Linked DNA regions of Tribolium castaneum. The protein of the gene in region 2 binds, or shares a complex with, the protein of the main gene of each other region. Links are inferred from orthologs where the notes say so. Each region holds a gene or a part of one and is shown on either strand. Other genes may lie near its edges.

Evidence for each region.
Region 1: protein lin-54 homolog (region 2) and retinoblastoma-like protein 1 share a complex: the UniProt entries of both Homo sapiens proteins name them as parts of the DREAM complex. The link is inferred for Tribolium castaneum from reciprocal best matches to the Homo sapiens genes LIN54 and RBL1.
Region 3: protein lin-54 homolog (region 2) and lin-52 share a complex: the UniProt entries of both Homo sapiens proteins name them as parts of the DREAM complex. The link is inferred for Tribolium castaneum from reciprocal best matches to the Homo sapiens genes LIN54 and LIN52.

The regions. Positions count from the first base shown.
Region 1 is NC_087396.1:19,760,554-19,763,971, reverse strand, and holds the end of retinoblastoma-like protein 1, read right to left. Parts: intron 2,618-3,418; coding exon 2,440-2,617; intron 2,390-2,439; coding exon 2,258-2,389; intron 2,206-2,257; coding exon 2,042-2,205; intron 1,788-2,041; coding exon 1,487-1,787; intron 1,439-1,486; coding exon 1,320-1,438; intron 1,272-1,319; coding exon 963-1,271; 3' UTR 616-962; downstream 1-615. UniProt on the Homo sapiens protein: Key regulator of entry into cell division. Directly involved in heterochromatin formation by maintaining overall chromatin structure and, in particular, that of constitutive heterochromatin by stabilizing histone methylation.
Region 2 is NC_087399.1:5,902,988-5,906,104, forward strand, and holds part of protein lin-54 homolog, read left to right. Parts: intron 1-671; coding exon 672-1,661; 3' UTR 1,662-3,117. UniProt on the Homo sapiens protein: Component of the DREAM complex, a multiprotein complex that can both act as a transcription activator or repressor depending on the context. In G0 phase, the complex binds to more than 800 promoters and is required for repression of E2F target genes.
Region 3 is NC_087402.1:6,135,733-6,138,727, forward strand, and holds lin-52 (protein lin-52 homolog), read right to left. Parts: upstream 1,652-2,995; 5' UTR 1,538-1,651; coding exon 1,504-1,537; intron 1,311-1,503; coding exon 1,221-1,310; intron 1,170-1,220; coding exon 1,068-1,169; intron 1,015-1,067; coding exon 869-1,014; 3' UTR 622-868; downstream 1-621. Other genes in the region: probable protein phosphatase 2C T23F11.1, read left to right, coding at 2,184-2,802.

The DNA.
Region 1 (3,418 bases), on a different chromosome or scaffold from region 2:
GCCTTAAGCCAAATAAAAACAAAACTACCCCCAAAAAGATGCAACTGGGAGAATACTTGGTAAATATTTTGGCAGAGCAAATGTTAAATAAGTAAATACTCGAAGATTTTAATTCAACAACGATGCTTCAAGCTAGCGTTTGGAGCGGCTTCTGGTAATTTTAAGCGCCACCCTGTATATCTTCGAGTCAAAAAAATCAAAAAATTCTTGTTGCGAAATTAAGTCAAATCGTAACAAGAAAAAACACAAACTAACGGATTTGGGATAAAAAGTAAATGTTTATTAATTGGGTTAAAACAATTTGCTTTTGAAAGCCTGGCAAAACGTGTACTATTTTTTTCTGTTAAAAGAAAAATGACTTGCTAAGGTCTCCTCATGTTTGAAGCTGTAATATAAACATTAGAACCAAGGCTAAAGTCCACAAATTTTGTAGAAAAGATGTTAAGTTAATCCTACTGACTGCGCCATTTAAGTTTGGAAAAAATATACTTGATAAGACGAAGATAATTTTAGAAATGGATATAAGGACAAGGCTAATAAAAGTTCTTCAATCATTTTTGGACAAAAAATAATATTCGGCACTTGTGGTTGTAAAAGGAGACTTAAACAAACATGGTCATTCAATTGGTCAATTTATTCAAAATAGACGTGAAGTTTACTTCGTACAAACCAACCTACGACGAAATTTTTGCTGATAAAGTAAAAAGGCAAACACACGATAAAACTTTGACGTAATTTAATTAATTAAAACGAAAAGTTGAGATAAATTATTTTAGATGTTTCAGTACTCGACCCTTTGAAGGGAAACTTCCAAGCATATCACAAGAACAGTGAACAAAAACCAGACGCCAGCATCAACTGGTGCCAAAATCGAAAAAATTAATATTTTTAGAATTAAAAAAGTTTGAATTATGCTAGAATTAAACTTTATACATAATAAACGTTAAAATCTAAATGAAACTTCATTCAGTGTTTTGATTTCTTCTTTCTTCAATCAAAGACTGCACTTTTCTCTTTGCCAGACGTTTCGAGTCGGGCAAGTCGTTCTCGCCCTCCACTAGCAATCGTTTTCCCGTCACACCATTGCCCCTTATGGCCTTATTGATGTCTTTCAAGTCCTTAGAAGGACTTCGGCTGAAATAGTAGTTCAGGACTTTGCCATTGCCGAAAGTCAAAGTCGGACTTTCCAGTGGCTTGATAAAAATGTTGTCAAACACTTGGACCACTTGCCCCCTGGACGCCGGCAGTGGACTCAAAAGTATATCTCCGATCTAAATCACAAAAATAAGACGTTACAAACAAAACATTTTCGAACTTACGTTTTCCTCGCCTCGGACTACGAATTTCTGCGCAAACTTTTTCATTGCTTGAATGATCACTTTGTTATAAAACTGTATCAAGTCACCCCATTCTTCCGGAATTTCGGTCGTCTCCCCATCTGAAATATTCCGTAGAAAAAACGCAAACTGCGTCATTTGGAGCTTACCAACAACCACGACTTTTTTACTGCTTATCAGAACGTTGCGATAAATGTCACTCGTGGCCTGAGGCTGGCTTCTATAACTTTTAATAATTTCCGTAAAATTTTTGTTGAGTTTCGTAAGTTTGCATATCATGTAGACGGCACACATTAATAGCTGGTCCAAATTGCGGTCTTTCATCAATTCGCAGTGGTTTTTGCGAACCAGTTCCTCAAAGACCGTCCAGATTTTGCGCTTAGTGTCCGTGTTTGTGATTTTTAAGTGTGTGCACAGGTGCTCCATCCGTTCTCCAGATAAATTATAGAACTGAAATTACGAATGTGTCTTTAGTGGACATCTGTTAGTAGGGTAATATAAATTTTGTTAGCACTTGTGCACGGATTTATGGTCATTCTTTACCCATGACGACCGCATATAAAATTTTAACAATTCACGGAAAAAATAAAAGCGTTTAATTACTACACTGAAATAAACCCAATTCTAGAAAGTAGAGCAGATTTGTTTAACACTTGGATGCCATTAAACCGCAAAATTATAAATTTTAACGGGACTTTACTTACTTTCCTGAATACTATTGACACACCTCCTGTTCTTCTCGGCCTGGCTTGAGCTACATTCTCCTGACGTTGTGGAGTCGTCTGTTGAACTGGCACCGGGGTGCTCTTTTGCGTTTCACTATTTACGATAGGAATCATGCGAGTATTCCCAGTACGATCTTTAATCACTAAAAAACGCAAATTTTGATAAATGCGTTAATTTAGTTGATTAAAACTTACTCAAATGAGTCGTTTGGAGTAGAGATTGACCTGACTGAACTGTAGGAAACAATTCTCTATTCACAGCACTGCTGTGTGCTACTGGTGACTGAAACCGGTCTGTTGCAGAAGGGCCAGGCGATACAATTTGTCCTACAATTATTTTTGTAACAATCGTATAACATAAAAAATAGCAAAAATACTTGGTTCAGAATTGAGAATACTTCTCAAGGTTAAGTTTTCAGAACTTGGTTCATTTTGCATATGCCCTGGCAAAGCCGTCTCTTCGAATTTCGGTACTTCCCTATCGGAAGATGTTATTGCTTCCCAAATTAAACTGTCTGATTTCCAGACCAGCGAGGAAAGTATAGTTTCCTCGATCTAAAAACGACAGTTTCATACAAAACAGAGTAAAGGTGGAGAACAGAATGAGAAACAGAAACTGCTGACTAATTATAATAAATTATCAGTGATTGAAATAAATCATAATCCTTCTTCACTGTTTGCTTTATATGTAGAAGATATCTGAAGCTTTAAAACAAAATATTTACTCGTAAATTCGACAATTAAATATTCAAATAAAATACAGTTATGCATTTCTTATTATATGGCCCTTGAAAACTTTCAAAAATTGATTAAAAGAAGAGGATTTTTATAAAACCTGTCTACAAGATAGTGTAGAAAAATCAATTTGACCTAATTTCTTAATGATTTTTCAGTCCAGTTTATCAAAACGTCGCGAAAAACCTGACTATTGAGCTCAAAAATGTGTTTTATTTCTCGAAAAAGATTAAAATAATTGCGTTTCTTGATGAAAAACACGTTTAAACCCTTAAAAAAAGCAAAATAAATGACATTCTCAACCGACTTTGACGATTTTTCTGGCAGAGATTAGCGAAATTTAGCGAAGAAAATGAGTTTTTAGCTCAAACACGTACTTACCGCTTCAATTTAAAGATTTCGTCTTAAATTAAAAATTTGCTAACTAGAAAATATACTTAAACCATTTAACGTAATTTAATTTTTTAGTTCAAAAAAAACCAGACAATAACACCGTTTTCGAGCACAATAATTTAATTTCTTTAAACTTGCGCCAAAATTCTTTAAAATAATTGTGTCCTTACATATGCAAACCGTGTTAAAACCCTCTTAAATAGGAAATAAATGTCACTGCTAGTTTTT
Region 2 (3,117 bases):
ATTGCTAAATTCTATGAAAAATGATTATATTTGGACCATTTTTGGTTCTTTTTGAGCTGAAAACTCAAGTTATTCGCGAGGTTTTGTTAAAATGGATCAAAAAATATCACTAATTATGTGAAAAAGTATAAAATTTTTATCTTTTCAAGAAATATTAGTGACTTTTACGGCCAAAAACGTAAATTTTTCGTAAAATATTAACCTAAAAACAATAAATAATGTCAAAAACGGTGTAATTATCATTTATTTAAAATTGAAAAATGTTTTAAAGTATGTTAAAAATTGTGCCATTTTTGCATTTTTTGAGCGTTCAAGCACCTTTTACCAATATTTTTTTTTGGGTGTTTGTACCCGTAATAGGTACATCTTAATCTCAAATAATGACTTTATTTCTGCCTTTTTTTTGGTGCTTGCAGTACATTTTGCAGCTAGTAATATACTTATTTCAAAAATTTTCGTCGAAAGAACCGTCCAAAAATAATTTAGTTGGAAAATGGTATCACCTGTTAAAAACTCAGTTTTCGAATTATTTCATTTAAACGACCCAAAAAAATAAATTTTGAATAAAATGATATATTTGTTTTTTTCGTGTATTTTCCAAAATAAGCCCGGAACTTGGTCGAAAAACGCCGTTGTGTTTCAATTTACTGAATTAATTTTCTCCTTTTCAGATGCAATACATTAAGTTTGTGACGGCCACCAATGCCGAGACCACGCCCTTTTCCTCGGGAGCCTCCACCCTCACGACCGTAAAATCGTCAATGCAAGCGTCCCCAACCAACATTGTCTTGTCGGAACTCAAACCGGCGTCCCAAGGCGCAACTATCGCCCCCAAACCGTTGAAAAACATTGCTGCAAAAGCCCCCGTCAGCAGCAGTCAAGTGGTGATGTTGCCAACGTACGTCCAAGCCAAAGTGCCGATCCCCATGCGCCACACCTCCGCCACCAAACAAATATCCGCAGAGAGTATCACAATGACACCCGAGTCCAATCTCGAGTCCAACGGCATAAGACCCCGAAAACCGTGCAACTGTACCAAAAGCCAGTGTTTGAAATTGTACTGCGATTGTTTCGCAAACGGCGAATTCTGCTACATGTGCAACTGCATGAACTGCTTCAACAACTTGGAAAATGAGGATCACAGACAGAGGGCGATCAAGACATGTCTCGAACGCAACCCTAATGCTTTTAGGCCGAAGATCGGCAAAGCGAAAGACGTGGCCGGGGACAGTTCGATCAGGAAACACACAAAGGGGTGCAATTGCAAGCGGTCGGGCTGTTTGAAGAATTACTGCGAGTGTTACGAGGCCAAAATCGCCTGTTCGAATAACTGCAAATGCATGGGGTGCAGAAATATCGAGGATTCGATGGAGAAGAAGAGTCTGAGGGCCTCGATTGAAGACGGGTTGCATAATTTGCAAGGGAAGATGGCACAGACCAGGGATCCGCTCCAGTTCAGGACAAGGAGGACGTCAAACAGCCGACAAGCGATTAATTTCATAACGGATGACGTTATCGAAGCGACCTCGCAGTGCATGTTGACCATCTCCGAAAGTGGGGATGCAAATATGCAAGATGAGCAAGTGACGAAAAGCCAGATTCTGGAAGAGTTCGGGAGGTGTCTCAAGGAGATCATCGATTATTCTATGTTGCACAACTGATGAAGTAGCGCTACGTGAAGTCAGACTTAAGTGTAGGTTACTAACTTTATTTTTATTTCCTAGGTTTAAGTTCAAATAAACTTTAATTACGGTTTTAAGGGCCGGTTTTTGCCCAAAACAACTACCCTAACGTCTAAAACCACTTAAAAATAGAAATAATTTCATTTTTTTAAATTATTTCCTTGAAACCCTTCGGTTTTTTTGCGGACCAAGTTTAAAAAAATTGCTGATTTTTCCTGTGTTTTAGCACGTACTTGCAAAATTTCGTTAAAAAAGACTGAAAAATCAAACTAGACCAAAAGTGGGCACACTGTTCAAGCGGCCGTGCAAATGCACAAATTTTAAACTCGGTGTTTAAGAAAATAATAAATAAAATCGTTTTACAATTGGATGTTATTCTTAGGTTAAATCATCACCTCACAGACGTTTTAAATTTTTGTAACCAACGGGTTAAACAGCTTAATAAATTTATCGTTTTTAGGGAAAACCTAATCAAATAAATCATAAATAAAAATAAATAAATAAATAAGACCCCTAATAAAATTTATCAAAAATTACGTACTATTTTTTAATAAAATACTGAAACGACCAGTTTTTTCTTTATTTAATTTTTGGAAGTATTAAATTCTGATAATGTTATTTATCTGAAAATTTGTGTACAGCTATAATCTGTTGTCCTGACCAATGAAAATTATTTTAAATAGAAAGATATGTTTTTTTACTGTGTTTCTGGGTATCTTGAGTTATTCCAAAAGGATTTTAATCGGCTGTCCCTATACGTAAATTTAACCGTTTTCAAAATATTTAGGGATTTTTTGAAAATCTCTGGTTTTGCATCTTTCACTTCAAAAATCGATAATTCTGTCATTTTTAGTTTTAGAAATCGTATTTGGACAATCAAAAAAATCTTATATTTTTTCTTCAGTGTTTTCAAAATTGGAAAAAAGTTTACAAACTTTAAAACCTGAACGTTGTTTTTGAACAATTTCTACAAGCTATAAGTCAATTTTTTCAAATAGAATGCCCCAATTAAATAGCATTCCCTAAATTCATTAAATTTAGATTTAAAAAACTTTGATTTCTTATATTTTATTCAGTTTCCGTGAATTTTTCAGTGCCAACAAAAAGTTCGTATAACTTGAAATCTGTTAAACATAAGTATAGGAAATGTTAATACAGATCGCTGCAGAATTAAATTCTCTACCATTAATTAGTGAAATAAAAATTGTGGCATTTTAATTGAAAATTTTTAGTTATGGTTGTTTGAAATTCTGCAAACTTAATCTTAAAAATTTGGAAAGGAAAGGAAATAAGGCAAAGATCTAAACCTTCTTTTTCAAATAAGCCAAAAATTTTTTAAAACAGCAGAGTTATCAATTTTTGAAGTCAAAGATGCAAATCGAAAAATTGTCAAAAAACCTTAAATGCTGAAAACTGATTGTTTTCAGATGACTAT
Region 3 (2,995 bases), on a different chromosome or scaffold from region 2:
AAACCTACTCAATAATAATTAATAACGCTCTAAAAGAGCAGAAACGGACACAAAATTCATAAAAGTAAAAATTTTTACATTTTCAAACTACAAACAGTAGCCAACGCAGAAACCATATGAAGGTAGGTGCATCTTATTTAACGCCAAGTAAAAAATATTTGATTTATGTGTTGTTTTTTTTTCATAAATAATTCCTTTATTTTCTAATAATCATTGTTTACCTCATCCTTAATTCCTTTTTTCCTGGCAAGAATGTTCTAAACCTTCTTCTGGTTCTTGCTGGACAAATGAGTTATTAATTTGACTAATTAGAGCAATCCTTAAATACGAGTTTTTTAACGCAATTTGCAAAATCGAGAAATTTTATAAAAATTAAAAAAATGTTAAGGTCCTAAGGAATGTTTGTCCGAACATGATTTTTTACAGTTGAAGGCCCTATTAGAGAGCTTAATCTCCTGCAAAAATAATTATCAATTTACATTCCACCGGATATTTTTAATCTAGGAAGCTGCTGGGTTCAGTAATAATAATAATAATAATAATAATAATAATGCATCACCTCATTATTGTTTTGGTGAGCTAACGGGGAACAAAATTTTAATTGTAGAAAATGAAGACACCTTTTACAAAACCAAATTTATTTTCGATTTTTATTATACAAACGAAACTTCAGCAGTGCAATATAATACATAAATCCTTTTGAAGCACTTGCTTAATAATACATTACAAAAATGATTTTCTCCAGGAAATTAACGTACAATCACTTCTTTAAACTTAAACTTATAATCCTATGTACAAATATATTTCCCCTGCTCTTTTTATAACTTCCACGTTATTTGGAACCTCTACTTAGGTAACAAATTGCAAATCATTTCTGCTTCTGCCTGGGCTTAAAAACATTTAAGTATTTCCCCCTTGTGACTTCTTTCGATTCCTCAACACCCAACTGATATGCAATATCATGCAACTCCTTGACTTTAGAAATCAGTCCAGCTGTTGGAAGAGCTGCTAATTCTACAAAAACCACACTCTTCTCTACAATCACACAAAAACTAATCCAAACTTACGGTGCAGATAATTCTGGTCATCCTGACTCAATTCCTTCGAGTAAGGCAGTTTTACGGCACTTGGTGGCGTGAAACTGTTTACAAAATCTGTCATTCCTGGATCTGAAACCCTATTATTGCCCTAATCCCACAAACATGTGCAACGCTACTTACACTTCTCTGGCCAAATTTCTGGAGAGGCTCTATCCAGATTTTCCATACTCATTAAGGTCTGCTCTAGATCGCTCAAAGATTGATCTTGCTCTAGGAAATGCAACAAATCAATTATATTTTGACAGATTGACATAAGCCACTCTGTTTAAAATGCGAACTTGTCCACGCACGCTAGCCGACAATTTCGCGTAAACTGTCCATGCAAGGCCTCAACAATCGTTTAATAATTAAATTGAGCCAAAAGTAACATTTACAGGGTGATTTTTTATTAAAAATGCTTTACCTTGTTCAATGCTCCCGGGTTTCTCGGACGCCATCTTGCAATTGTGCCAACTGCAGCAAACGTAATCAAAAGGCTGCGCTTTTAGGGGGACTTTGAAAGCGGCAAAGAAACACTATACAGAACGAGCAAAAGTCGCAAATGACCCTAATTGGGTGTCAACCCCGATTCACTTGCCCCCAATTTCGTAAAAGTTTGGTTTTTAAATTTGGCTGGTGTATTAAGTGTCGCAATGTTGGCGCTTCCCTCGCCAAGATTGTAAAATCAAATCGTAATTTAATTAGTAATAAGTAACAACGAATTTATTGTCAATAGTTTTTATTTGAAGAACGTGCCGCACATTTTTATTGTTTAGGACATAAAAAAGTTTTCGGCCTTGTGCACAGGCGATGACGCACTCAGCCGGCCGCGTCCCAGCTCGACATTCAAACGTCAAGTTTCTCTTTTTTCGAAGAGTTCTCTCCCGATTAACCTAAATATTGCGTTCCATATCTCGTGACACACAACAGCAAAAAGCGGTGTTAATTAGCGTACGCAAAATATGCGATTCGATTTAGCACAAGTATGCTAAATAAAACCCATCCAAAGAGCAGAGTTCAATTTTGAGTAAGTAGCGACGGTTTTTTCCCGCTTGCCTCGTGTTTTTGCGCTTTTTGCGGACTTATCGCCCTTTCAGGGGTACTATGGGTCAAACTTTGTCCGAACCGGTGACTGCCAAGAACACAGCATGCTGCCAAAACGCCAATTTCCAAGTGGGCTCAAGTTCGATGCAGGGCTGGCGCATCAACATGGAGGACTCCCATACGCACATCTTGTCCCTGCCGGACGACCCCGAGGCCGCGTTTTTCGCGGTCTACGACGGGCATGGGGGCTCCAAGATCTCGGAGTACGCGGGCAAGCACCTGCACAAGTTTATCACGAACCGGGAGGAGTACAAGAACGGCCAGATCGAGGAGGGGCTGAAGCAGGCCTTCTTGGAGATCGACCGGGTCATGCTGGAGGATGAGTCGTTGAGAAACGAGCAGTCGGGCTCCACAGCCGTCACTATTATTATCAAAAATGGCACGTTGTACTGCGCCAACGTGGGGGACTCTAGAGCTGTGGCGAGCATTGGGGGCAAGGCGGAGCCGCTTTCGAACGACCACAAGCCGAACAACAAGGAGGAGTACGACAGGATCGTAGCGGCGGGAGGGTTTGTTGATTACAACAGGGTTAACGGGAACTTGGCCCTTTCCAGGGCCCTCGGTGATTTTATTTTCAAAAGAAACGAGGATAAACCCCAGGAGGAACAAATCGTTACAGGTAAGTCTGGAAATTGCGAGCTAATCTTGTTTAAACACTGTCAATATTTATGTTAGTCTTTTATGAATTGTGTATATTTAGATCAAGTGAGTAATTGGGTACTTAGGTAAATAATTACATCAGTTGATGGATGGTCCCATTTGATTCAAAGGGTGTGTTATTTTTAAAGTTACGTTGTCAGCATATGTTACGA